Mytilus edulis: one gene and its partners. The protein of the gene in region 3 binds, or shares a complex with, the protein of the main gene of each other region. Links are inferred from orthologs where the notes say so. Each region holds a gene or a part of one and is shown on either strand. Other genes may lie near its edges. The genes, in order: mediator of RNA polymerase II transcription subunit 31-B-like, mediator of RNA polymerase II transcription subunit 21-like, mediator of RNA polymerase II transcription subunit 4-like and cyclin-dependent kinase 8-like.

Region 1 (7,958 bases), on a different chromosome or scaffold from region 3:
AAATACAATATCTCTATACAACATCTCTTTATTTTATACAGTTTATAAAACTGCCTAAAAACTATGAACAGAGATGAAAAAATTTCCTGCTAAATACATCATGTACATGTTACGTCTATGACAAGTATCAACCTCGGAAAAATTTTACACATAAAAATGTTCGTTTTGGATGTTTAAGAGATGACAATAATTTTGACCATCCACATAGCTGCCATTACAATTCAGAGAATATCTCTGACCGATTAATTTTAAATCAACACATTTATTATTGCTGTGTCAGCTAGTTTTATCTTTTTGATCTTGTTTGTGTCGTTCCGCTTCATCGATCAATAACTTCATGCGTTTCCTCTGATAATGCTGCCAATGTAAGAGTTGCTGATCGTCTATAAACTTAGCACATTGTGAATTCACTAATTCTTTTCTAAAGTGTTCATATTGTAGCAGCTCCAATAAATGTAAACATTGGGGATATCTGAAAATGAAATAAAAATAATGAAAACAAATTAAATATTGCAAGAGATAATTACAAACTAGTTATACAATGGGAAAGTCTTAATCTTTAAAGCAGATATTGCTTGGTGTATCATAACTCATACAGTGTTTATTTGTCAACTTGTAACATGAACATTTAACATAACGTCATAAAGAATTTGCAACTCCTTGTGTGTACTGTACAAGGCATATCTGTCAACTTCTGGAAATGAAAATCTCATTCATATCCTGCATTGAGCAAGTAAATGTCAGGTCATAATGAGAACAATTTTTTTCTGTTGAATTTATAATTATTTTTTTTTTCGTAAAATATCTACTACTGTGGATATATTGTTTTTTTGTGGGGTACTAATTTTTGAAGATTTCGTGGGTACAGATAAACCACAAGTATAAATGTTCAAAGAATTACAGATTTTCTATAACATGTATAAGGATGTACATTGTATTGGCAAAATCACGATATCAAATAGCCACGAAAATGCAAGATTTTCTTAATCCACAAAAATTGGAACACATAAAAAAATCCACAAAAATTGGAACACATAAAAATCCACAAAAATTGGAATACACAAAAATAAATGAATCTACAGTATAACAAGATTCCTACAAAAATTCACTATTGTACATTTTTGTACAAACTTACTTGAGGTATTTAGCATATTTAGGTTCTTTCCAGTATTGCAGGTATTTAAGGTAGTTGATAAATGTCTGATCTTTGAAGAATCCTCTCTGTGCTAAAACTATAAAAAAATAAAATTGAACAGTATATTTTTACAGCTCTGTTAACTTAAAACTGTTCACACAACACATAACAAGGATAAAATATGCAATTGCAATCTTAATAAATCAATGATAAAAAAATTACATGGCTCATATTGGGAGAGAAAATAATAACTGAAAATTAAAGAATTCTTGTAACAACTCTCATGACTCTTTAAGGGGTCTTTGCCAGTTTTGGTGGCACGTACATTGCAGGACAAAAGTTCTTTTGCTATGCAAACAAACTTTTTTCAAATTGTAGCCAAGCTTGTATTACATGTATTTAAATCAGTGGCAAATCGTCAGTGTGTATTCCTTCATGTAATATAAAAAAATATATCTTCATGTTAAAAATAAACTTTTGAGATATCTAATTATTGTCATCTGGGCAGTTTTGTTGCAAATGACTGAGCATCTAACATAGAATATTAACAGTTACAAATTAATATTAACAGTAGATGTCATCCAACCTAAAAAGGTTTTACATTTGACATTCAGTGTTGCCCTTGCTCATCGATACATACCTAAGTTTGTTTCCGTTCTCTAACTTAAGAATATAGGTGTTGTCACTTTAACAGTTGTGGATGTATGTCACTTTACAATGTTATATGCAAGTATGGGGCATCATCTGTCCCAAAGACACATTCTCAATTAGAATTGGTTTTTTACTGTCATTGTATACTCACAATTAAGGTAATTCGGATTAGCCAAACATTGTACAAATTCTAACTCTGTCTGAAATCTCACTCTTTCATCTGCTTCTGAAAAAGAAATTATTTTTTATTTAAAAGATACAGCATTCTTAATGATATTCAGTGTTTTCCCCAAAAGATGATTTCCATTCTTTGTAAATTCAATCATGTCAATCCTCATGACCCCATTTATAAAAAAATTTCTTTCTGGAAACATCTTGCTCAGCTGATCTTGCTATAATTTACGTTCTATTCCATCTTGTCTCTCCTTGTAAGAAAAACTACATATAAGGGTAGTAATGGCCTTTACCATCAGGCGTCAAATGTTCAATTCCAGCTACCGTTAGCGTCAAATTGGTTAAAATTTTACAGTGAATCGTCAAAATATCCTTATGGTGAACCGTGATTCGTCAATGGTGTCAAATGATTATCCTTACCGTCATTTTTGAGAAAAATTTAACGTGATTCGTCAAAATCAGTCGATTTTTTTATCCCCTAAAAGAAAGTATACATTTTAATATCGTCATGCATCTAAAATTACCTTTTACGTTTAAATTTGGCTAGAATTTTATCGTTATTCGTCATGAAGGTATCCCCATTACCACCCTCATATATGAATACAATAACATATGATCTGACCAATTATTTGGTGTTTAGGAGAAAGGCTGGACCCATGTATGTGTATAACTGTTTGTAGTAGAATGACCAAATGGCAGATAAGGGTAGAACTATACAGCCTTAGCCACCTTATGGCAGGGTCATAAAATATATTTATTGAATGAATTAATGTATTTTTGCTGTTTGAGTTGTGAAAAGCTTTGTATCCACTTCAAACTGCTTTTCATATTGTTCTGGCATTGATAAGTATTTATGAACAACAATATGCATGACAGAACTATAAGGTTAGAGGGGAACTATTTATTTTGGGGTCTGTTGTTATCTAGAGCAACATTAGCACTTATTTTACCATGGGAGGAATTCTGTCTTGCAGCTGCAGCCATAACAAAAATATGATCTATGTCTTCTTCGCGCTTGTAAGAAACGCAATTACAACAAAGCGTCAGACTGACGTTGAGAAAGCAAAATGGCTGCCCCCATGAAAAAATTTTGACTTTTAAAATTTTTGTAAATCCTTTACATTTTTTTAGGTTTAGCAATAACAATGCAGAATCTAAAGTGTAGTGTTAAACCCGAAATCTTCAGAGCAGTACGAGATGTTGACATCTCTTCACTGAGTGATTCGAAGGAATTTGATTTGCGTCCAGTTCTTCCATGTCTTGTTAGAATGGCTTTGTGTAAACCACTTGATGAGAGCTCCAACTGGACAAAAGCTAAAAAAGAAGTCTTAAAAATCTTATCTGGGATAGAAGTTGTGAATGGCATTGTGGCATTGCTATCTATTGATTTCCATGCTTTAGAACAAGACGTTAAAAAAGAACAACAGCTCAGGTACACCCCTAAAAACAGTAGTGAGTTACTGAGTAAGGCACTGGCTACAATCACGTTGCAATAATATGAGGCAGGCATTACCCGTGAAAGAGGATAAAGTTAATCATTTTTTTTTATTTCAAACATATTTAAAAATCTGTTCAAAAAGAAACGAAAATATCTTACAGTTTCCTATGTTGGTCCTGTTGTTAGGCAGGGTTCTCGCTAAAGCGAGTCCATGAGTCCTAGACTCATCAAAATCTGTTTGGACTCACCATTCTCAAAACTAGTGAGTCCAAAGATGCATCAATATTGAAATATTTTGTATAAATTGAACACAGTAAAACACAAATATCATCATGATCATCATTTTATAGCAAAAGTTTTAAAAGTAATCTGAATTTAATGTCATTTCATTGCTCTGTTAGGCCATGGAGGATAAAATATTACATTATATTGCAATAAAATATATTCTTCTTGCTGTTGGACTCACCATGGCCAAAAATGACGAGTCCCTGGACTCGCCTTCAAAAATCCTTAGCGAGAACCCTGTTAGGGATTTTAGTTGTGCATCATTTAAGTTATGACTTCATTTTCATTGTATACAAAGAATTAATAAAAACAAAATTGTTATTCTGCTCCTTCCTCATGTTCCTCAATAACAATAAATGAATTAACATACATGTATATTTTATTCAGTCTCATGACAATATTGAGACCAGAAGAAAGAAAGACATTTCTGCACAAATGCGGGAAAATAAAAAGTTCATGATTTTGAGTTCATAGGTACATTGATGTTTTTTTATTATTGATTTTCCTGCTGCAATTGGAGTTTTTGTCCCCACAATAAACATGATAAAAGAGTTATTGTACATGTAAGTATTGATGAGCAAATTGTTTTCCAGATTAACTCTCCATACCTTCAGAAGTGATGACATATTTGTTTTTTTCCTTGATAATAATCTTAAATTTTTTACCTTATTCCTTGCAGGACAAAGATTGGTACATCACAGACTGACAGTGTCCTGATATCTCAGTTACAGTGTGGGCTTGCTATGGAGTTTGAAAGAAGTGACCATGCTCGTAGAATTCGTCTGCTATTAAGTGAACTTCTCTTTGTAGCATCACAGGTTAATTATCTTATCATTTGTAAATTGAGCATGTTAAACAATCAACATTGAATTTTCAATGTTATTCTATTGTGAATATTCAACTTCATTAAAGACATCAAAAGTTTTAATTAAGTAACAACATTATGTATGAGAATCAGAGGGAGGTATCAATTTTCATGCATTAACGAAAACTTGTGGATGTTTTTAAAAATTCATGGTATTGTCGAAGTCTGCATACAAGCATAAAGAACATTTATCATTCTTACAAAATTTAATTTCATAGTTCAACTGTACCCACGAAATCCACAAAAAATGGTATTTAATGAATAATAAAGAATATGCAGTATACCAGTATATACTGTTGAGTGAGGGTTGAAGACTGTCAATTTTTAACATTTAAGGAATGACTGTAATATTTTTTCTGTCTATGAAGAAATAACATAAAAAATGTGGTACACACTGAATAACGCGCGTAGCAGGTTATTTAACAGTGTGCACCACATTTTTTAGGTTATTTCGAATAGACAGAAAAAATATTACAGTCATTTCTTATAATTTAATTCTAAATTCCATTTTAAACTGTAGAAAACCATGAAAAAACGTTGATGACGTCACAATCACATGACTAAATTATGTCTATGGGCTGATAACAAAATAACGTCAGCCAATCAGAAGACACGTTACATCCAAAATTAAATTATGTTTTATAAAGAAATACAATGCAGTTTCTATATAAACCAGATTTGTTTAGTTTCTGCTTCAAAAATGATGATGAGAGTAGATCTACATGATCTATGTTATTGTGTTTGGCAACCAGCGTTTATAATGAAAAAAATTATACTTTTATTACAATGTCAATATTATATTGCTTCAGATGAAAGAAAACAAGGCAGAATTTTATTTCAAGTCATCAGAATTACTGGAGAGCATTGTTTACCTTGAAGAAGTATCTGATGTATTGTGTATAGCACAAGCAGGTAATATACATTAACGTTGTAAACCATACTTTGACCTTATGGCTTACTTTTATAAATTGTGACTTGGAAGGAGAGTTGTCTTATTGGCACTCATACCAATTCTTTTTATATCTATGTAATAGAGATAAGAAGATGTGGTATGAGTGCAAATGAGACAACTCTCCTTCCAAGACATAATGTTTAAAAAGTACAATTTAAGGTCTTAGTACAGCCTTAAATACAGAACCTTAGCTCACTCTGAACAGCAAATTTTAGATTTAAGGGCCCCAAAATGACCAGTGTAAAACAATTTAAACAGGAAAACCAACTATGATTTATATTAAAAAGAGAAAGGAGAAACACCTTTGAAACACAACGGCACACAACAACCACTGAACAACAGACTCCTGACTAAAAACAGGTGCTTGAAAATGCAATATGTTTAAATGTTTAAACTGGTGCCAACCTTCACCCTTGTCTGAGACAATTTTGTAACATTACAACATAAAAGGACGCTATAAAATATTCAATTGAAATGACTTTAATTGATCAAAAAGACATTTAAACAAAAACAAGTAAGCATACACTGAACTGAACCAGTATATATTTGTTTAGGGGCCAGCTGAAGGAAGCCTCCGGGTGCGAGAATTTCTGGTTGCATTGAAGACCTGTTGGTGACCTTCAGCTGTTGTTTCCCCTCTGGTCGGGTTGTTGTCTCTTCGGCACATTCACCATTTCCATTCTCAATTTTACTGAACAAATTAGTTTGATCTTTGACACACCCTCACACAATAAAAATACAATATTAAAACATAGGTCCCTGTATAACACAGACTTTACAGTTAGTAATAAAGAAGATGTCAATAAGTCAACCCTTACCTGGGACAAAATGACATTAAATGAAACATAGAATAGTTGTAAGCAGTAATAAATTGTTTTTCAGAGTACGAGTACAGAAGTGTTACATATTAGAAATAATGAGATGAAATGTAAAAAAAAAAGTAACAAAAAGTAAAATCACAAAAATATCCAACTCCAAGTGAAGTATAGATTTATATCTTGTTTTTAGCAAATGCAGGTACATTGCTTGTTGAAGAACTGCAAATACCAAAATAAGAATGATAATAGAGAATAATTTTTTGTATATTTGTAGAGCTTCCTACATTACTTCAAATAAAAGACGTAGCTGAGACATTGTTACACTTACCAAATGGAGGCTGGTTGTTGTGTCGTCTGGTGGCTAACTCTCCAGACAGCTTTAAAGAAGGTACATTTGAAGCTGCTCAGGCAGAAATCTACCTTATGCAATTGCATGTAAACATGTACCTGTATGAAACTTTTATTGATTTTGGAAAATTGAAATATGAAATAAAAGATAGAATTAATGTTTGTTTTGTGGGGTTCTTATATCAAATCAATTTTTAAACCTTTACAGATATAATAATTTGCATAGAAACTTTTTCAACCTGAAATATGTAAACAGATGAATTGATATTCATTTGCATAAGATCAAATTCTTTCCGACGCAAGTCATTTGATTTAATTTGAGTTGGAGAAGTCTTATGCATTTACTGTTGTAATTATTCATTTATTTAAAGATTGATTTTGAAAGCATAGAACTAATTTTAGATAAAAAAAATTCTTAGCTAAGAAAATATTTTTAGATTCACTATATGAACAGCACTGAGTTTCAAACGACAATCAATATTAAATGATGTTTAGAATTAAGTGTATATTATAACACTTAGAAATACAAAAATGTGGTTAACAAATAAAATTAAAACATCTTTTAACATTAATTGACATTTGTGCGATTAGCAATTTCTACCATTCCTTTCTTGTAGTATGTACCAGTCTGGTGGCCAATGGAGAAACACAAGACGAAGAATCAATGAGTGGAAGAAGGAGAATGGAAGTCTTGTTGAATCTGTGTACCATGAATCCTGGAGAAATGTTAAACATAAGGGCTCTTTGTGTAGGTTATCTGTCTGTCTATACTAAGGATATATTGAGTGTTTGATTGTATCTTGTATAAGGTCTACTGTAAAAATTGCTTACATATTGATGATTTAAACAGTTGACCATGAAGCATGAAAATTGTGTCAAGCAAAATCATAAAAAATAGATTTTTTTTTTACTGTTGACAAAAAGGACATGTTGGATAGAGATTATCTAGATATATTTTGAGATAACCCCTTAATTAAGCTCTGTTCATATTTTGAGATAACCTTCTACTAAAGCTCTGAATACATTTTGAGATAACCTCTTACTAAAGCTTTCTTTACATTTTGAGATAACCTCCTACTAAATCTCAGTTCACATTTTGAGATAACCTCTTACTGAAGCTCAGTGATATTTTTTTAATTCAGGTTGAACATTGCACAATGCCTGGTTTAGCTGTGGCCTTAACATTGTTGACAAGTAAAGATTATCACGGTGTTGCCATGGATATCAAAGATAAAACAGCTGATGTTATTGCTTTTGTGTGTGGGTTGTTGCTAAGCAACAATTTGAATGTT
Region 2 (7,498 bases), on a different chromosome or scaffold from region 3:
GGGTAGGAGGTCGAAAAAAAATTAAAAATAAAAATAATGAAAAAATATAGGGTAGGAGGTCGAAAAAAAATTAAAAATAAAAATTGGAATTAATACTGGTTTTTTTTACCAAAAAAGGAGAGAAACAAACAATGACATTACTCTATATAATAGTATTATACTAACCATGTATGCAGATCGTTTCATAATTTGGTATTAATTCTTGCTGTTAAAGTGTTTTAATTTAAATTAAATGTGTTACAAGGAGTCCAATGTCAATGTAGTTGCGGAACCGTAGCTCTTAGGTCCTTATGTTATTTTTTGACTATTTGCGGACCATAGAGCTACGGATTTTTCCTATTTCAAAACGTTCGGAATTGCGACCCAGGTTCAGGTCGCACTTATTTCTCAAAAAAATATTGTTTATATATAATCCATGCAAAACTTGTCAATATATATAGTTCGATTCGTTAGATATTTTTCTAGGATATGACGTACCTATTTATGTTTGAATATTCATTTCCTTAACACTATTATCTAATTATTTCCATTTGTATACATTCTCCGCCTATTTTATTCGACCATATTGAATCTCGTTGTAAAAATATCTAACGAAACGAACTATACATATATTGACAAGTTTTGCATGGATTATAAACAATATTTTTTGGAGAAAAAAGTGGGACCTGAACCTGGGTCGCAATTCCGAACGTTTTGAAATAGGAAAAATCCGTAGCTCTATGGTCCGCAAATAGTCAAAAAATAACATAAGGACCTAAGAGCTACAGTTCCGCAGCTAATGTCAATGTAGATTGATGAAAGCAGATATATATATATATGTCCCTGATGAAAGGGAAGCGTCTTTTCCAATTGCATTTCTCTTTGTTCTGTGTATTTATTTATCAAATTTAGATCAGGGAGTGACAAAATTCCTCATAACACAATACAATCTTATTGAGGAAATACCATATGTGCTCTGCATGTCATATGCCTTCATATGTGGTACATGTACATGAAAACATGTCCTTTTAAGGCTTTTTATGCTATTTTACACTGTTTAATAAGTATTAGCTTATATTTCGAAGTATCCTGTGATTGTCCCTTTTCATAAATGTCGAAGTGATTTTAATTGTCAGGCATTCTATGACAGTAATACATGTTCTCATTTTGTGTTGGGATCTTGTTCACCATATCCCACCTCTGTTCCATTAAATCTCAATGGGTACCGTGGGAGGGTATTTAGGTATTTATATAATAAGGCCAATTAATCAGACACCCATCCCTGGCAGCAAGTTAAAAGATCCTTCCCTTTAGTGATGTCTGGCAAGGCTATATAAAAACAAATCTGGGATGCCATGAAGCCTTGCCAGACGTCATAATTATTTGGACTAGTACCTCATATGTGTAATGGAACTAAAACAGCCCCTTTCAATAGGTTTCAGACTTTCTGATCAACACTTGAACCAAAGTTGACCCACCGTCAACCTCACTGACTGTCTGAAACAGGGGTTCAAATTAGCGGTGGTCCAATTAAACCAAAATTCCCTAACGATCTCAAAAATAATTATCATTTTTATTATTCATGACTGCGATGTTCATTTTGTTCAACCGCTAGATTTACACCGAAAATATCCAACAATTAATGTGTAAGTATTTGTAAAATCGTATCTGGTCCTCCGTTTTCAACTGGTTCCTTTTCACCTCATTAGATCATGATGAAACGTTGACTGAACAGGGAACCGCCTTTCAACTGGTTCCTTTTCACCACATTAGATCATGATGAAACGTTGACTGAACAGGGAACCGCAAGGGATTTTCGAATCCACTCCGAGGGTATTCCGACTGGAAGAAGAAAGACTGATCTTTCTTATCATGTTTTATTTTTATTTGTACTTCTTCAAACAGAAAAGGGTCGGCGGAATTACAAAAAAATCTTCAAAATCGTTTTTATTTTTATTTTGATATTGTGAAAAACAGGGTTGGCGGATCCGTAAAACAACAAATAAAAAAAAAGTGGCCTTATGTAGGGTTGATGATTTTATTGGTAAGATGCATGTTTGTAAAAACTATCATGCAAATTTTGCATCTTAAGCATCTGACATTCCTTGTGGCAGCAAGTGTCACCCATGGCAAGTGTACCAAAATAGGGATTTATATAGACAATTAAATAAATACTTAATTTCAATCAATTAAATGTTCGCTTATTCACTTTATTCATTTAATTGTAATAATATTTATTTGTTAAAAGTCAATAAAAGATTAGTTCGCCTAAAATAAACCCATACTAATCCAAATGCATTTATGATCCAGCTCTTACTGGACCGTACAATTGCAGTCCAAATACTTGTATGATCTGGAACATAAATAAAGTATATTTGCTATTCACTAACAACTTCCAAGTTTCTTCTCCACGGCAATCACTTTTATATTATAATGAGAGCCTCTATCAACACAAAAATTATTGTCCTGTCCTAGAGTATTCTTATGAAAATTATATTCAAGGTGAAAACCGGAAGCTCGAGTCTTGTATGACTTTAAAGTTGGTCTGATGACAGAAATAATGTCCAGATATCTTTATATTCGTTTTTCTCCCAAAATAAACCTAACTAGATAATCATAAGAATAGATGACAAATGCGACTATACTTGGTACATTTACCTAAAGAACACATGATGATTAATTTATTCATTATTGTAGAAGGAAGAGAAAGGGCACTCGAAAAACTACACCATTATTAGGCACAATTTTTTTCTTATCAAGACGAAAGGTTCAACTATTTACATTATTGATAAAAAAGTGGGGTTCATTATTTAAATTTATCTGCCATTTTTTCTATTTAACAAGTCTGAAGTCTATAGACCCTTCGCATAAATTTTAAAAAGACGTTTGTTTTTTTTTCTTAAAAATCTTTTTTTTTTTTTCAAGTAAATAAATTTTTTTGTCGTTAATTTTTTTCTTCTTGTTGCTAATTACTAATTAGCGAGACCGCAAATTAGTCAATACGAAGATGAATATTTTTTTCATGCTTGAATTTTGAAGAAAAAAAATAAATGCAAACACTTTGTCCCCTTTCCCTGCTAACACATATTTCAGACTAACGAAAAACAGGCCAAATCAGTTTATAGACTTGCACGTGTTTCAATGCCAAAGGATGAAATATTTTACAACCACGTGGTCAACCAAAAATGATATGGTAAAACTTTTCAGAAGAGCTGTGGTGTTTTTGAATTGCTAAAATGTGTAGAATTTTTAGTTTTCTCATGACCTAAATGTTTTTCAGTTTGTTAAGAAGAAATATTCATGTATACTTTTAAGTCTTTCAGACACGAAACTGTGAACAACTTCTTTGATCAAGTAAAATGGTTGAAAGGAAGAGCTTTGGTTTCTGGGTAATAAAGAAAGCTTGGTACAACTAAAATCCAATGCTGAATACATTAGTTAATAGAGAAGGAACGTACATTTTTATGCTCGGTTTTTTTTTAAGTAAGTAATTAGACCAGTGTATGTAAAGTGCGGATACTAAAATACCATTTTCACTGTCTATGCCATGCATTTCTGATGTAGAATGGTATATAAATAGACGAAAACATTATGATTTTTGAAGAAAATGAAGAAAATTGTTCACATGTACTATATTTAGTAATAAAACTTAAGAATAAGTTACACGAAACCCCACCAAAACTGGGGGGTGATCTTAGGTGCTCCGGAAGGGTAAGCAGATCCTGCTGTATATGTGGCACCCGTCGTGTTGATTAGGTAGCAATACACAGTTAGGAGTTTAGTTTCGCATTTTGGCCCCTGTGAATTTTTCAAATAGGAAAGTTATTGTGTAATAAAATTCATTTTTAGACAGATGAGTGCTAATTTAGCCTTCAAAGATGGTTTATAAGACCATCAAGATTATTTTTTACATGTTTTATGGGCTGTTTTCTGTTTGACAATCCGTATTTTCATAGCTAGACCGGCCATCGGTCCAGAAATTAATGTACTGTTTACAAACACTGTTTTTCTACACGAAGTTTTTGACGCAATTTTACAAAAAAATGAGACGAAAGACATATGATTTTCATTGGATTTGCTGAATGATATATGTACACAGTTTCAGAAAAGGTACTACTTCAAGTGATTGAAATTCTACTTTTAGCCAAATTTTGGGGAAATATGTGACATCTTTCCCCCCCTTTTTGCAATATTTTATAACAAATAAATGCAGATTGTTGCCATGGATACACCAAAAAGAAAATATATTTTACCATTTTATATACTGGATATATAATCTATGGAAGGTTCTGATTACATACATATGCCCATATATGACACAAACAGTAAGCTTGATATTGCAAGAAAGCAATGAAAAGGGGATGGTAAAATTCATAAGGGCAAATTTTAGTATTTTTTCCTAACTGTTTATTGCTACCTTATGTTATTACAAGCCCGGTGAATAGTCTACTATTCTGTATAAAGTGTAAATAACGTTAATTGTTGTACAATGTTGTATGAAGATATTTGTTGGTTATTACTCAGCCCTTTGTAAAAGGTCAAGGTTTAAACTGCTATTGCTAGAAATTTTGACACTTTTGTATCCAGTTAACACAAATAATGCTTATATAGGATTTATACTAAACTTGTGGCAGATTTGAAATGGCAGACAGACTGACACAGCTACAGGATGCTGTAAATCAAGTAAAACGAAACAGATAATTTTAGTTTAACGTTAATGTTCATTCACATGGGATAGTAAACCCGGCAAATAGTAACACCGGTGGTTCATCATGAAGAATACCTTTTTGTATCAAATGATTAATCGTGTTGGTATAAACATATTAATATGAAAGTATTATCCTATAGGTAGAAGAAAATAAGACGTGCTTCAAATGCAAAGATTACCATATGTACATGTAATGTATGCTACTCGCTTGAGATGGAAAATTATCGCTAGAAACTAAGCATGCACGTGGCTTTGCTAATGAAATTGACATGAAATTGACAACGTCGTCATAGGTAAAATAGCGATAAAAAGTTTATCGTTGACCGATTATCTATAATTATAGCTTAATTAACGTTAAAACAATTTTCCACTAAAAATGAATGTTACTTTATTCAAATATAAGGACTTTGTTAGCTAAACCTACTAATTTTATTAGATATTATGATTTTTTAAGACAATAGATAAACATGCTATCATATGTATTTGTACATTGTACAAACGTCAAAAGAATTTGAACTAGGTATGCCTTTTATTTGGAAATTGTTACGTCACATTGCAATTTTAATAGCACAAAGACTCATAAGACTAGGATGCACCAACTGGTTATCAGCTTTGTTAGAGTCTATCAAAATGTACCTCTGTCATATTTGTTTTTCGTAAACTGTTTTATTGTAAATTAAGCTATTATTCTTCTCAATTGATTTGCTTCATATTTTTCAAGTCAGGACCTTTTGTAGACGACCACACAGTATGGGTTTTTATACGACCGCAAAAATTTTAATTTTTCGTCGTATATTGCTATCACGTTGGCGTCGTCGTCTTGCATCGTCGTCTTCGTCCGAATACTTTTAGTTTTCACACTCTAACTTTTGTAAAAGTGAATAGAAATCTATGAAATTTTAACACAAGGTTTATTACCACAAAAGGAAGGTTGGGATTGATTTTGAAAGTTTTGGTCCCAATATTTTAGGAATTAGGGGCCAAAAAGGGCCCAAATAAGCATTTTCTTGGTTTTCGCACTATAACTTTAGTTTACGTAAATTGAAATCTATGAAATTTTGACACAAGGTTTATGACCACAAAATGAAGGTTGGGATTGATCCCAACAGTTTAGGAATTAGGGGCCAAAAAAGGGCCCAAATAAGCATTATTCTTGGTTTTCGTACAATAACTTTAGTATAAGTAAATAGAAATCAATGAAATTTAAACACAAGTTTTATGAACACAAAAGGAAGGTTGGGATTGATTTTGGGAGTTTTGGTCCCAACAGTTTAGGAATTAGGGGCCAAAAAGGGGGCCAAATAAGCATTATTCTTGGTTTTCGCACCATAACTTTAGTATAAGTAAATAGAAATCTATGAAATTTAAACACAAGGTTTGTGACCATAAAAGGAAGGTTGGGTTTCATTTTTGGAGGTTTGATCCTAACAGTTTAGGAATTAAGGGGCCCAAAGGGTCCAAAATTGAACTTTGTTTGATTTCATCAAAAATTGAATAATTGGGGTTCTTTGATATGCCGAATCTAACTGTGTATGTAGATTCTTAATTTTTGGTCCCGTTTTCAAATTGGTCTTCATTAAGGTCCAAAGGGTCCAAAATTGAATTCTTGAGCTTTTTTGATATGCGGAATCTAAACATGTACTTAGATTTTTAATTATAGTTTTCAAGTTGGTTCAAATCAGGATCCAAAACTATTATATGAAGTATTGTGCAATAGCAAGAAATTTTCAATTGCACAGTATTCAGCAATAGCAAGAAATCTTCAATTGCACAGTTTTGCGCAATAGCAAGAAATCTTCAATTGCACAGTATTGTCAATTTGTGCAATAGCAAATATTTTCAATTGCACAGTATTGCGCAATAGCAAGAAATATCTAATTGCACAATATTGTGCAATAGCAAGAAATTTTCAATTGATTGGAGTTATCTTTCTTTGTCCAGAATAGTAGTTGAATCAACTTAAATCATTGTTTTATACAATATACAATGTATATTCACTTTTACTACCAACTGATAAATTAAAACAATCTTTACCATTCAGTGATAACAAGCACTTTATTTTACATTTTAATATTTTATGATGTATTTAAATGAGTAGTTATTGTTGCAAACTTCATTAGGAATTTGAATTGAGATCAGTTTTGGAAAAAGGGAAAGGGGGATGTGAAAAAAAAATTGGGGGGGGGGGGGGGGTAAATTTTTCTCATTTCAGATTTCATAAATAAAAAGAAAATTTCTTCAAACATTTTTTTGAGAGGATTAATATTCAACAGCATAGTGAATTGCTCAAAGGCAAAAAAAATATTTTAAGTTCATTAGACCACATTCATTCTGTGTCAGAAACCTATGCTGTGTCAACTATTTAATCACAATCCAAATTAAGAGCTGAATCCAGCTTAAATGTTGTGTCCATACTTGCCCCAACTGTTCAGGGTTCAACCTCTGCGGTCGTATATAGCTGCGCCCTGCGGAGCATCTGGTTCTCATTGTTGACGGCTGTAGGTTGCCTATAATTGCTTACATCCACTTCATTTGACTTTCTTAATAATTAAATGGAAAAATCGATTGTAGGTGCCCTTATGTGAATAACATTTGCCAGATTTTTATCAAAATTATATCAAATGTTAAAATATTTGTGAAAAGTTTGAATAAACAAAAGTGTTGTTTTTTTCAGATAAAATATCTGCAACTCAGTGGAAATTGGAACTCTGTTTTTTTTCTTTGTATTAGATATAAAAAAAAATTCTAAATTTGCATTAAATATTTATGAAAATTTTCTATTTGCAGATGGCTGATCATTTTTGCAACAGT
Region 3 (7,139 bases):
TAATTAATTTAAGGTGGTACCTAACACTAAAGGGAGATAACTCTGTAAAATCAGCAGAACGTTTTAATGACGTTGCGTTCATATGGGAATATTAAGCTTCTCATTGATCAAAATAAGTGTTTGTCAAACTGCTATATAACCAGTGTAATTTTTCTGATTAAACGGTTGGTTCAAATTTTTTGAATTTCTTATATTTTTGTCAAAGGGTCAAAGTAAACACTTTGTCAAAATTTAAAGAAAATTAAACGAGCCAAATTAATTTTAGTTAAAGTGTTAGGTACCTCCTTAAATGAAACAGTTAAAGTTATTATTTATAAATGATCAAATTGTTCATCCAATAATAACAATATTGTAATGTTTTTAATTTAAAACTTTCTTAAATCTTTTAAATTATTGGTTAATTGGTACGCTCAGTGACAGCTTTAATGTTTTTATGACAACTAATGACAGTTAATAAAAAGTAATTATGGTACGTGTAAAGTGATTAAGTTGATTAATGACACATGACCTATGGCACACGACCTAAAAATAATTATTTTCTACTTTTTTCTCACTTTAACATGCCAATGCATAACCCTCCTCCTTTTTCACCCAGACTTGGGACCGGCGTTGACGGAGTTAAAGTTTTTATTTGATTTTTTTATAACTCTTATTTTACTCTATTCCTTTTACTTTCTCTCAGAGACATCACTATGTTGTTCTTTGATTGCATGTTATACTGGCATAAAGCCTTATTTTTCATCTGAAAAACCCTGGTATAAACATGAAACAAGTCTTAGTTGACCAGAGCAGCAGCAGCAGTTGGTCCATATACAAAAAACAAGAAACATGAAAGAAACAACTTATGATAGAAAAAAAAATATTAATATAAGAAAGTCGGCAACATAAAGATGAGTGGTGTAAGTATTGGAGACATCAAAGCACGTGGCAGAAGACTAAATACTTTGACAAAGACGGGGTACATCTAAATGATGGACAATTTAAATTCTTCTGTTCTATCGCATGTGTGCAAAACTGTAATTGTAAAGTGTAAAATTATGTGCAATCAATTATTTAATAAATAAATATAGATATATATGTACATCAATAGGTCTTTTCATTATTTTTTTAGTAACCTACGACTCATATTATTATATATTTGTAGGACTCTAAAGTGCGATGGTACTCTAAAGTACGATGGTCACGCTAAAGTGCGATGGTCTACGCTAAAGTGCATTGGTGTCAGACGCTAAAGTGCAATGGTTGTTTGTTTTTAAATGAGATCAGATGACATGCTAAAGTGCGATGGTATGCCACGCTAAAGTGCGATGGTGTAACTGGAATGGTGTTCAGGCAATGTCTTTTGTTTTTTGCGGTGTTAATATTAGTTTTTGTATATTGTTTATAAATTATGCCGTTGTTTTTCTCTTTTGAATTGTTGTACACGAGTTATTGTGTGGTTTATATAACTAGCTATTCGACTAGAGCCGATACTCCACGCCTTGGATCATAAGTTATTAAGTGCGCACATCTGCAACATTTTGTGTTTGGTGAATAATTGTTTCATTGGCATCTTCTTATTTGTTTTTTTGTTTGTTAATTGATTTTTTTCTGTATAAATCAGTCCGTTATTTTTCTCATATCAATTATTTTGCAATGGTCGTTCTGAAAACCTTTAGTCATAAATCTACTATTTATCTGCTGGGTTAGCCATACGATTCCAGTTTAGATCTAGACTTGTGTCATCGGCAATCATATGATGATACTTCATAACTGCTTGGTATGTCACTATCTTGTTGATGAATATCCATCTCTTTCACAGACATGACAATACATATTGTACAAAAATATTCAGGTTATAGAATAACTCAATTAGAAATTTAAAAAGTAGCTTTTATTCCAAGCAAGTTCGATTATAAACATAGAAGGAGTTTCTAAATTAAATTTGAACGAATTGAAATACTTTGACACTTGGTGTATTTTGACTTTTTCTCTCTTTTACGGTAAGCACCTTCCCCTTACTGTCATCAGTTTTCTATGTTGATGGGAAAACACAGCGAGTTGAAAGGTTTTGTACGGTGGGTGATTTTGTTGGAAAAAAATCCTCTGCATACAGTCTTCTATATCACCTACTAAAAGTGTTTTGTTTCATTTATATCTCTTTTTTTTTGTCTTGTAAAAAACCTTCATAGGGAGCCACAAATATTCTTGTTTACCGGCATGTCAATTTTTGTATGTTCAAATTGGCTTCAAGCGTCATAATGCAAACATTCACACTTTCGCGAACAAACACGCATTCATGGAAAAATGCACTTTATCGTGTCATGGCATCGCACTTTAGCGTACACCATCGTACTTTAGCGTGACCATCGCACTTAAGCGTCCCCATCGCACTTTAGAGTCCTACATATTGATATAACAGTTTTCTTAGGTTACAAAACATCACAGGTACTAAACAACCTAGTAAGTTAGGAATCGACTAGTTACGAAACCGTCAAAGAAAAAAAATATAATAGCCTTTCAAGACGTCATAATTATTAGGACTACAAAACGACCTGCATCCTTCACAACATCTGATTAGTAAATAAAATAATTAAATGTCTACAGTATGTGGTAAAATCAAGGATTTATATAATAAAGATCAGCAATATCCTTGTTAAAATTGGTAACCCTTTCACTTTTTCCCCTCCACTTTTATTGTTTTAATATAATTAGTGCAGACAGAAAAGACAATAACAGTCATGGCAGTTTTCCAGGTTTCACAAGTTGGGTAGGAAAAAAAACTAAAGTTGTCATTTTTATATGGTCTAGACCATGCATTTCATTTGGTGTTTCAAATATGTGAAATGACAGTAATACTATTAGTGAAATTACTTAGATATCAACTCAACATCATCAATTTGTTGTAAAAGTTTTTGTTTGGTGCTGATGGAGGAAGCCATGCTGAATTATTCGACCAATAAATTATGCTGATAGAGTAGGAAACATTTATGAACCAATCGAATACACTTTCACATACAAGAAAAGGAAACCGGAAGTGAATGTCAATAAAATCAAAACAAACTCATCATGAACAACAAATTTGATGCGTACGTAAAACATGCATACATTCATAATTGACCAATTATATTTAAAGATCTTTAAGTAAATCGCATGACACCTAGCCAATCCATTGACACATTTTTCCGTAGGGTCAATTTTTGTTCGGCAAAAGGCATAATTTTGACGTCATCAATTTGCCCAAACACGTGCAACTTATGAATAGTCACCAAGTCCAAGATGAACAGGTTACATTTATTAGCGAAACTAATGAAAACTGCAATTATTATTTTTCTTTAAGGTATCATAAAATCCGACCATGGTACTTTTGTTTCTTCGTGTGTATAATTTAAAAAAAAAAAGTCAACTTTGAATCAAAAATATGTGTCAACAGCTGTTTAGACCAGACCTAGACTTTACAGTATCCTGATAAGCTAGCACTGTACATTTACATTACTGTTACAATGAATGAAATTGTAGGACAGCCTTTCAAGCTGAGATAAATCCAGTGCTTTGTCAGACATGTACAATGTACAACAAGCCCAAGTTTGTCGAAGTAAGGCGTCAAATAAAAATAATATAATAGCCTTTCAAGACGTCATAATTATTTGGACTAAAGTTTTGCATGATACATTGTGTCATTAATTATGCCTGTGTCACCATAAAGTGCATTTCAGAATTAATGTTGTGTGTTTCATGTCGCGATGAATATTTTAGAAAACATTTTAAAAATTTTGAGATGTCATATCTGTCACTATGACATTGTATGACAACACATCGTTTGTATTCAATTTCAGATGAATTATACATATATAATATGCTATAAGTATAATTATTCAAGTAGTACAAGTTTGAAATAATTCTTTTGTTTATAGCTTGAAAACTTTCTTTGTCATACATGTATATACAAATGAAGCATACATAGAGTGGGGTGCTCGTTTTCGCCGGGGACACAATTTCGCCGTTTAATGATTTTGAGGTGTAAAAACTTCAAAGGATGGCTGAAATGGAAGAAATGTACCCGTAAATTATATTTTTATAACAAATATAATATTTTTTTAAACTGAGACAAAATTGCGGCTCCTACCGAAAATGACCGAAAAACGGACAACGATTTTCGGACAATTTATATTTCCTGAATAAAACACGATTTCAAAGAAGTATTTCTAAGTAAATATTTGACTGAATGCCCTAATTTTGAATTCTTTATACCTTTGAAATGTCTGCTGTTCATCTATAATGCAATTGATTTGATAAAAATTGTTAAAAGCTGCGGTTATTTGGTTTTAAATAGATGTGTAAAAACGGCGAATATGTGTCCCCCATTGACAAAACATCCGGAAATTTCAAACACCCTTTAATCTAACTTTTCAGATGATTTTTTAAAAACAAACCGGTTTTCAACATGTTCAAGCTTAAGTTTATTTTGCATTTGAAGTTATCTGCATATAGAAATATCAGTATACTTCAAAAACATTTAGACCTGAACATAAACTGTAGAAAACATGGAAAGATGTGGCGAAAATGAGCACCCCACTCTATATGTCTTTAGAACATGTAGAATGGTCTGTCGACAAAGGACATCTATAGATAACATATTTCCCTAGTGCAGCAAAAGTGTTAATGAAATAAATTTAACTTATCTAAATAATTTAGAGATGCGGAGTAGATAGCAATTAGACCGCAACCTAGCGACAAAAATAATCAACACCTAGAGATCTCTGTACAGTGATCAACCATAGCATTAATAGCCCAATGCCAAGTTTTTATTTTTTAAGCTGTGAATAAATTTATAAAAAGAAACTATCAAAGATATGCCATCAAAACAAATTGTTATAATATATACGAGACTTATAATGGTTTACTTTTTTTTAATTGTTATTTGGATGGAGAGTTGTCTCATTGGCACTCACACCACATGTACATCTTCCTATATCTACTAAGAAAAAAAACACAAATATTTTACATAGGACAATCACATTCTCAATTATGGGCTTTAACATTGATATGTGGTGAGTCAATCTTGTATTTTTTGGAATAACACCAGTTAATGGATCTTACATTTTTGTCAGTGGGTGAATACACCTTATCGCTTATCCCGGCTGACCCGGCCGCTTGAACTTTTGACGCATACAACAATCACTTTTCCATTGTGGCGTCAGATATTTTGTTTTTGTGACGTCAAAAATTTACGGGAACCTGTGTGATATCCAGTAATGGCGGACAAATAGCGATAAGGTGTATAATTACACTAACAATTTCAACTCCAACTTACTACATGTATCATTATAAAGAGGCTGAGCATGTCAAGTACAAATGTATAAAGGATGAGTGTAGATATATATATCAACAGCAGGCTTATTTATTTCTGAATGCACTTTTGTCAATTTTGTTACAGTCTTTTGTTGAGATGTATTGTAGTTATGCCATATTTGTGTTTAGAAACTGATTTTGAAATACATAGTAAAAGTATGATACATGAGTGGTGGCTTTCCATTTTGACTTAATTTGTTTATTGTAGATTAAAACAAGAGGATAGCGGTGAGGATGATCAAACAGAACAGAAAAATGAACAAGAAGAAACAGATTCTCCATTTAAAGTTCGACCTTCACCAGTAAGTCTTCAAAAGATAGTTTATGACAACGATTGGAATGTTACCATGGTTACATTTTGACAATTTGATAAAATTTATATTTTATAAAGAGAGACAAATCAGATTATGGTCTCTTCTTAAAAAAAAATGTCCAGCTAAACAACATTAGTAAATTGTTTTAAACAAACAAACAAAAACTCAATTGAACAGAAAGAAATTTTTTGACTTTTTTTTTTAAATGATTTGTGTCATAATTTTTTTTTTATCCAGTTTCAGTACATTTTATTAAGTATATGTATGCATAGTTGATGTAAGATGAATAGTTGTGATATTTATAATTTGAATTTGAATGGGAAACTCTGTCAGACTGGTTTAATCAAAATAACAGCATACATGTATATATATCTATGAATGATGGATTTTCTTTCAGAGACCAGGGCCTGGAGAACACCCATTACAGTTTAACTACGCAATATGGTTTTCTCGGAAATCGCAAGGAAAATCTTCTGCAAGTTATGATCAGAATTTAAAGTTAGTTGGGACATTTGCATCAGTAAGTTAACATCTTTAAAACAATGCAGCACTATTTTACTGCTATTATTGTAGGTATTGGCGTATAAAATAATCATTACCATATTAATAGAAATACCTAGATTTATTTTCAGCAGTATGAAAATAAGGACATCAGTGTTTTCCTTTTTTCACTAAGGTAAGGTGGGTGTTTTAAAAAAATAACTTGCAACCGGGTGGGTTTTTTTTTAAATGTCCAACCTTTTTTAATTTACTGTGGGTGCACGTGGGGGTCACAGAAATAAAGATTAGTATAATATTCACATTTTATGGAGTTGAACAAACATAAATAGAGGTAGTCATATAAATGTCCAATATTCTTTGATTTTATTTTTTCAAAAATTTATCTCTTTTATCTCTTCTTTCATTTACAATTTTATGCATCAGCATGGATTTAAGGCCTTTCGATCCAGGTTTCTGTTCTGTTTCTTGCTTTTGTGCCGTATTTTTGGCACAAAGAACAGTAGTATCCTTCCTCTGTGACTATAAGTCATTTGAAGTCTTGCTCATATTTGTCTTCACTTGCGTGTCTTTTCCGTTGTTTGGTTGATTTTTTTTCAATTTCCACAACTTCAACGTTACTATCAATTTTATTTAACTTATTTGGTCTAGTATTTTCTTTATCATCATCGTCATCTTCCTTTCTTTTCCCCCCGATTGATTAATGAAAACATTGAAATTTGACGATTGGACGCCATCTTTGTCAATGAAAACAAGGCGGGATTAGTTTTCAAATTTTAACGGTACGGAACCGAAAAAAATCCGGATTTTGAAAAAAAAGCCGACCACCTCCTAAAATTGAAAGGTGGTCGGCTTTCAAAAGAAGGTGGTTGGCACACCCTGCTTAAATGCCGAATGGAAAACACTGGACATGTGGTAATTGCCTATGAGACAACAATCAACCAGGGAACAAAGGATGAGTTTGTAAATAACTATAGGTCACCATATCCTGTAGGA
Region 4 (7,435 bases), on a different chromosome or scaffold from region 3:
GTGCTTAATTTTTGCAATAATTGTCAATAACATTTATTTTTGTATTAAATATCAGGCTGTTAGTTTTCTCTTTTGAATAGATTTTGATGCTTCAGTGATTCCCTATATTATCCACCAAGTTTTTTCCATAAAAAGAATGGCCTTGCTCTTAATCCGCCTCTGGATCATTATAGATTCTGCTATGAAGTTCAGGAAAGAAATAACTTCCCTAATAGATTGTGTACAGTAGATATATAGTGGAAACTAGCATTATACTTACAGCTATTTCTCTACATGCTGACATAGAAATTCCTGTACCTTCTATCTGCTTTAAGGCATATTCTCTTCCATCAGTGCTGAAATTCAAATCAGAGAAATACTTTGGATCCGAAAAAGCTATTTCAAAATTTATACCTAAAAACATGAACATTGCAGAAGTTTTTCTCTCAACCACACAAATGATATTAAATTTAGTGGTTTTTTTTAAATCCTTCAATATGTAATAAAATCTCATACAACATTCTCACTCATAGTATAGTACGTAGCAAAGACTAGATGTATTTGAATGACACATATGGGCCTGTTCGCAAAAAAATCAAGAAGTCATTTTTAGAAATTGTAAAAATTTAATTTTTTGGTAAGCTTTTGAGATGAATGCTGATATTTTTGTGCTTTATAAAAAATATTACCATAAAAAATTAAAATGATATACCCGAATGTATAAGATTTCTGCATGTTGAATAAATAGACTTATACATGCTAAAAATTAGCTGAATATGTGAAGTTCAGTGTATCCCAAACTCTGTCTATCCAACAAAATGTCAGACAAGAAATCATTCGGTCAGACAGAATTTTTTGGAGATTTTGGTTGAATATATATAGAAGAAAAATTCAAATTTCTTTTTCAGTCAGACAAACCCTAAAACAGTTTGGCACAGACTGGAAGTTATGATAAGAAAAAAATAAACAGCTGCTCCACGAGCACATGATACACCTGTCATCTTGTGTGTGAAGTTTTATTCAATAATCATTTGATAATCATAAATAGTTTCTGAGAGGCGACATTGAGTTGGCCTAATTGAAACAATTTTGGAAAAACACACATTTCTCCAAATGTAAAATTTAATCAAATTACATTAACATGTAATTGAAAGTTGACCTGAAAACACATTGCATTCAATTGAATGATAAATTGTAATTTTTAAGGGTGTACGGTTTCATATACATTTTTTTTGTACATGTACATACAATCTCTAATGGGAAGTTATTGTAAAATTGTTTCATTAAGGTACAAATGTATATTATAAATACAATGTTCCCTGTACTCAAACTACACAACAATTTCACAATAATTATCTCATAGATGTGGAACCGTAATCTTAAGAGGGTAGGAATGCCCTCTAAAGTCAGGTGTCAAACAGTCACTTTCAGCTACCTTTAGAGTCAAATTGATAAACTTTTACCATCATTTGTCAAATTGATAAACTTTTACCATCATTTGTCAAATTGGTAAAAAGTTTACCATCATTTGTCAAATTGATAAACTTTTACCATAATTTGTCAAATCATCCCTATCATGATACGTCAAAGATCCTACATGTAAATAAGATAGTATCTAAATTTAATGTAATTTATCAAAATCAGTCATTTTTTTTTATTGTCTTAAAGAAAGCATATTTTTGATTGTCATGCATCAAACATTACTGTTGACATCATTTGGCAATTTTTTTTTACTGTTATTCACCAATAAGGTAAAAATGTACCCCCTTTACGACCTTCTCTAATATCTTTTTGATATTTTTAAACAATTTTAAGATGGATGGTCTACAATTTGTAAATTTGAATTGTTTTACATTGTTATTTCGGAGTCTTTTAAAGCTGACTATGTGGTATGGGCTTTGTTCATTGTTGAAGACTGTATAGTCTGTAATTTCTGTGTCATTTTGGTCTCTTGTGGAGAGTTGTTTCATTGGCAATCATACCACATCTTCTTTTTTTATATTTAAAAGAGCTACGGTTCTACAGCTACATCAAAGATTAGTATAGTTTACTATACAAATCTTTGAATATATTGTATATAATCTGATGACTGTCATGAGGGTAATAATAAATGCCCTTTACTGTCTGTAAATTAGTGTCAAAGTGATTGAAATTTTACAGTGATTTGTCAAAATCCTCTTATCCTGATTTGTCAGAGGTCTTTTTATAATTATAAAATGTTACTTTTATTTTTGGAAAAATTTAACGTGATTAATGATTTGTCAAAATCTTTCGATGTTTTTATCGACTAAAAGAAAGTCCATATATATATATTTTATTATCATTTTACAGTTTACAACATTTGTCAAGAACTATTACCGTTATTTGTCATGAAGGTACCACACCTGATCATAGACATATAACATAACAAATCATTAAATTTATATACATTCATGACATTGTACAAATGTAGATTGCCATTGACATATAGTCAATACTCAAATAATTGTACAAAAATAGAAAAACAATAAGGAATTCTTATCATTCTTCAAAAAAAGACACGTATTATGAATTTATCTATACGTCTATAATGCGTGATGGCAAGAAATACTAAGACAGTCTGCACCAAAAACTTTTTCAACTACTAGTCCGAAGACCAATATCCTGACATTTTTCTTGTTGGTCCAAACAAATTTTTGCAAAACTTACTAGTCCGAATAAAATTTTACTAGTCTGGGGTATCGGACTAGTGGCTAACCGTGCAGACTGCTAAGAAATAAAGAAATAACTCTTAAAAAATATAAAATCGACGATTTAGTGTGCGAGACATATGCTTCAAACACACTTTAACCTGTTCTTCCTTTTGCCTTTATACACATGTCCATATGTTCCTCGTCCAACTTTGCATCCTTCGTAATCGAAAAGGTCCTCGACTTTTGCTCTTTCTGCATTGGTTTTCTGCTTATATTCAAAATCCATTTCTTTGACGGCTCCAAAATATTTATTTTCCTAAAGATGCTTAATAAATAAAATTCCGTTGTTAAAAGCGTGTTGATGATCAATACGATCTAATTACAGAACATTCACGGAACCACTCAACTATTCCGGGTTTTCAACACTGGCAACGCCACTGCTGGTGGAGATTTATTTCTCCGAGTGTATCACAAGCCCAGTAGTCAGTACTTTTTGTGCTGACATGAATTGTCATTGATATGGTTATATTTATAAATTTACTGTTTACAATTTTTGGAATTTTTGTACTAAGGCTTTTCTACCTCAGGCATAGATTACCTTTAGCTGTATTTGGCAAAACTTTTATGAATTTCGGTCCTCAATGCTCTTCAACTTCGTACTTTATCATGTTTATAATATTTGGCCTTTTTTTTTTTTTTTTTTTTTTTTTTAACTTTTTTGGATTCGAGCGTCACTGATGAGTCTTTTGTAGACGAAACGCGCGTCTGGCGTATATACTAAATTTAGTCCTGGTATCTATGATGAGTTTATTTAAAGGAACACTATAACCCGAATAATTCAGTCGTTATATTCCGCTGATCTACGAAGGCTACATTAACGCCTGAACGTCTTCCTCGATCAAGACCGTCAACCGGAAAATCCACACCGCTTTGCAATATGGGAATTTTTATTTAAATTGGCAGCTAAAGAAGGAGGAGTTCCGGATGTTAATTGATGATAAATGATGTTAATTGATGTTAATTAATTATTATCGGATTTGTGTTAATTGAACACACGTGTGTGGTAAGGCAATTTCAAGAGAGTTGCGCAGACTCATATCCTGATCGCCGCTGATTGGCTCTCTCTCACAGAGAGCAGGCGACGCGGCCAATGATCACAAAGAGTTCAAGCCCTCGTGTGGGAGAAAATCGGACACGGAAAGGGCTTGAATTATTCGAGTTAGGAACACTATAGCTACGAGATATATATAAAAAAAAAAATATGATTTATTTTTGTTCAATTAATCATTTTAATAGTGAAATAATAATTCGCCTTTAGCGGCCAGTATGTTTCAATTTTGTCAAAATAAGCTGAGAAACATTGATGATGAATAATTATCTTGTTTATCTCAGCCGTTGCCAAAGTCATGGAATAATTCGACTTCATTCACGGAATCCGTATTTATGTGAACTTCAGCTAGAGATGGATAACGCATAAATTGTGCGTTTTGAGTATTTAAAGGAAAATAATGCCAACGTTGAAAGTGAAACAAAAGTAAACTGACCATTTGACGTTGACTGATTCGATCCACAAAATATCCTTTTTATACAGGTACCGTACAAATATAAAACGATGATTAACATATATTTTTAATGTACAATATTAAGTTAAAGAGACCTAGAAAAATACAAATGCACGAGCTAGTTTCTATCTATATCTATATTATGTTTATATCGGTCTGAGGTCTCCGGAGGTCAACTCGATAGTTAATTAGATGCATGGCGTCTAGACTAAAATACACACATAACGAAGTAACATGTTCCCGAGCCCATACCCTGCCGTTGCAAAACCATATAGAATAAAGAATAATGAGCAACGAAGTAACATGTTCCCGAGCCCATACCCTGCCGTTGCAAAACCATATAGAATAAAGAATAATGAGCAAACTGAAGAAAAGAATACAGAAAAATAACCAAACAATTAATAGGATACAGAAAGTGAGGATAATCCCATCCATAGTACCCCAGTCATTCATCTTGATATCTATATCACTAATGGAAAGCTGAATACTAAAATTTATGATAGAAGGGATGATTTTTCATTTCCTATCGTTAATTATCCGTTTTTAGATGGTGACGTTCCCTTGTCACCATCTTACGGTGTTTATATATCTCAACTTGTACGATTCGCTCGTGTATGTAACAATGTTTTAGATTTTAACGAGAGAAATTTATGTATTACTGAAAAACTATTACACCAGGGTTTTCGATATCACAAACTAGTCAAAACATTTACTAAATTTTATCATCGGTATAAAGACATCATTCGTAAATATAGCTCAACATGCAGACTTCTAATACGTTCAGGTATTTCACATCCAATTTTTTATGGAAATATTCTTTATAAAGCACAAAGGTGTCAGTATTAACCTCAGAAACTTACAAAACCTTTGAATAGACTTATTAAGAAGGGATATAATTACGATACTGTTGTCAAGTCATTAAAGATTGCATATTTTGGAGTTAATATTGAGTCACTGATAAGGTCTTTGCATCGGAACTAAACACATTTATTCTAAAAACAGTTGTTGGCATGACACGGGTTATGTTCTTCTCATATATGTTATGATGGTATGATACTAAACCCCTAACGGGAAGGATTGTGCCTGATGTTCATATGATGAAATCATAATCTTTCAGTCAGTTTAATTGAAGTCTGGAGCTGGCATGTCAGTTAACTGCTAGTAGTCTGTTTTTATTTATGTATTATTGTCATTTTTTTTATTTTCTTTGGTTACATCTTCTGACATCAGACTCGGACTTCTCTTGAACTGATTTTTAATGTGCGTATTGTTATGCGTTTACTTTTCTACATTGGTTAGAGGTATAGGGGGAGGGTTGAGATCTCACAAACATGTTTAACCCCGCCGCATTTTTGCGCCTGTCCCAAGCCAGGAGCCTCTGGCCTTTGTTAGTCTTGTATTATTTTAATTTTAGTTCCTTGTGTACAATTTGGAAATTAGTATGGCGTTCATTATCACTGGACTAGTATATATTTGTTTAGGGGCCAGCTGAAGGACGCCTCCGGGTGCGGAAATTTCTCGCTACATTGAAGACCTGTTGGTGACCCTCTACTGTTGTTTTTTATTTGGTCGGGTTGTTGTCTCTTTGACACATTCCCCATTTCCATTCTCAATTTTATCACTGAAGCAAATACCGATAAAACAGGTCTCTAACAAATGATCAGATAGCAATGTTTGACCAATATCAAACAGTTTTGCATGTGGCAAACACCTTCCATGGGCAACTGTCTAATACACTTAACATTCAGTGACAAATATTTCAAGCAGGTACAGCTGGGACGTTTACAAATCAACCATACATATAGTGGGCAGGTCCTGTTAAGTAGGCCGCCTTCCGAGAAGAAGGTTGGGGAAAAGTAGCCTGGTACACATGAAAGCAGCTGTTGAGATGATAGAAAAGTTTAAAAAAACAACTTGTAAGCATATATAAGATAGCATTTAGAAAAAAAGAACTGTACACATAGAGCTATTTTTTTTTTTATAGAAAACACTCGGTATTAGTACAACTAAATGCGTACGGTTTCTTACCAACCGATTCTTTCGTCGAATCTGGGTGCATGGACGTATTTATTGCGTCCGGTGGCGAATGTGTCATGCATGTTCAGGATAATCATAGTGTCATTTGAAACTCTGAACTCTGGTCGGTAACTATTGTAAAGTCTCAGGCGCGGATCCAGAGGGGGGGGGGGGGGGTTCCGGGGGGTGGAACCCCCCTTTTTTTTAGGACGATCAATGCATTTGAATGGGGACATGTAATTGGACCCCCCCTTTGCCCTGGGTTAGGAACCCACCCTTTTTAGAATGGCTGGATCCGCCCCCGAGTCTATTCGACAGGGAACATATTCACACATTTTATTCTAGGCATAGTAAAGATCATTTACACCAATTTTTATTGATATGATTGTGTAGCTTCGTTTGTTAAATGTTTGAAAAAAGTTCACAATGATCAGATAGCAATGTTTGACCAATATCAAACAGTTTTGCATGTGGCAAACACCTTCCATGGGCAACTGTCTAATACACTTAACATTCAGTGACAAATATTTCAAGCAGGTACAGCTGGGACGTTTACAAATCAACCATACATATAGTGGGCAGGTCCTGTTAAGTAGGCCGCCTTCCGAGAAGAAGGTTGGGGAAAAGTAGCCTGGTACACATGAAAGCAGCTGTTGAGATGATAGAAAAGTTTAAAAAAACAACTTGTAAGCATATATAAGATAGCATTTAGAAAAAAAGAACTGTACACATAGAGCTATTTTTTTTTATAGAAAACACTCGGTATAAGTACAACTAAATGCGTACGGTTTCTTACCAACCGATTCTTTCGTCGAATCTGGGTGCATGGACGTATTTATTGCGTCCGGTGGCGAATGTGTCATGCATGTTCAGGATAATCATAGTGTCATTTGAAACTCTGAACTCTGGTCGGTAACTATTGTAAAGTCTCAGGCGCGGATCCAGAGGGGGGGGGGGGGGTTCCGGGGGGTGGAACCCCCCTTTTTTTAGGACGATCAATGCATTTGAATGGGGACATGTAATTGGACCCCCCCCCCCCCCCCCGTTTGTCCTGGGTTAGGAACCCACCCTTTTTAGAATGGCTGGATCCGCCCCCGAGTCTATTCGACAGGGAACATATTCACACATTTTATTCTAGGCATAGTAAAGATCATTTACACCAATTTTTATTGATATGATTGTGTAGCTTCGTTTGTTAAATGTTTG

The links.
Region 1: mediator of RNA polymerase II transcription subunit 4-like (region 3) and mediator of RNA polymerase II transcription subunit 31-B-like share a complex: the UniProt entries of both Caenorhabditis elegans proteins name them as parts of the mediator complex. The link is inferred for Mytilus edulis from reciprocal best matches to the Caenorhabditis elegans genes mdt-4 and mdt-31.
Region 2: mediator of RNA polymerase II transcription subunit 4-like (region 3) and mediator of RNA polymerase II transcription subunit 21-like share a complex: the UniProt entries of both Caenorhabditis elegans proteins name them as parts of the mediator complex. The link is inferred for Mytilus edulis from reciprocal best matches to the Caenorhabditis elegans genes mdt-4 and mdt-21.
Region 4: mediator of RNA polymerase II transcription subunit 4-like (region 3) and cyclin-dependent kinase 8-like share a complex: the UniProt entries of both Caenorhabditis elegans proteins name them as parts of the mediator complex. The link is inferred for Mytilus edulis from reciprocal best matches to the Caenorhabditis elegans genes mdt-4 and cdk-8.

What each region holds. Positions count from the first base shown.
Region 1 is NC_092349.1:27,276,517-27,284,474, reverse strand, and holds mediator of RNA polymerase II transcription subunit 31-B-like, read right to left. Parts: upstream 3,015-7,958; 5' UTR 2,945-3,014; coding exon 2,911-2,944; intron 2,013-2,910; coding exon 1,938-2,012; intron 1,233-1,937; coding exon 1,136-1,232; intron 473-1,135; coding exon 277-472; 3' UTR 11-276; downstream 1-10. Other genes in the region: integrator complex subunit 2-like, read left to right, coding at 3,106-3,392, 4,363-4,501, 5,358-5,460, 6,593-6,706, 7,284-7,414, 7,809-7,958. UniProt on the Caenorhabditis elegans protein: Component of the Mediator complex, a coactivator involved in the regulated transcription of nearly all RNA polymerase II-dependent genes.
Region 2 is NC_092349.1:41,335,535-41,343,032, forward strand, and holds the start of mediator of RNA polymerase II transcription subunit 21-like, read left to right. Parts: upstream 1-4,494; 5' UTR 4,495-4,620; coding exon 4,621-4,662; intron 4,663-7,474; coding exon 7,475-7,498. UniProt on the Caenorhabditis elegans protein: Component of the Mediator complex, a coactivator involved in the regulated transcription of nearly all RNA polymerase II-dependent genes.
Region 3 is NC_092346.1:52,328,785-52,335,923, forward strand, and holds the start of mediator of RNA polymerase II transcription subunit 4-like, read right to left. Parts: upstream 3,023-7,139; 5' UTR 2,922-3,022; coding exon 2,854-2,921; intron 1-2,853. Other genes in the region: eukaryotic translation initiation factor 4E type 2-like, read left to right, coding at 3,049-3,068, 5,540-5,633, 6,043-6,165. UniProt on the Caenorhabditis elegans protein: Component of the Mediator complex, a coactivator involved in the regulated transcription of nearly all RNA polymerase II-dependent genes.
Region 4 is NC_092353.1:33,985,315-33,992,749, reverse strand, and holds the start of cyclin-dependent kinase 8-like, read right to left. Parts: upstream 3,007-7,435; 5' UTR 2,938-3,006; coding exon 2,804-2,937; intron 336-2,803; coding exon 260-335; intron 1-259. UniProt on the Caenorhabditis elegans protein: Component of the Mediator complex, a coactivator involved in regulated gene transcription of nearly all RNA polymerase II-dependent genes.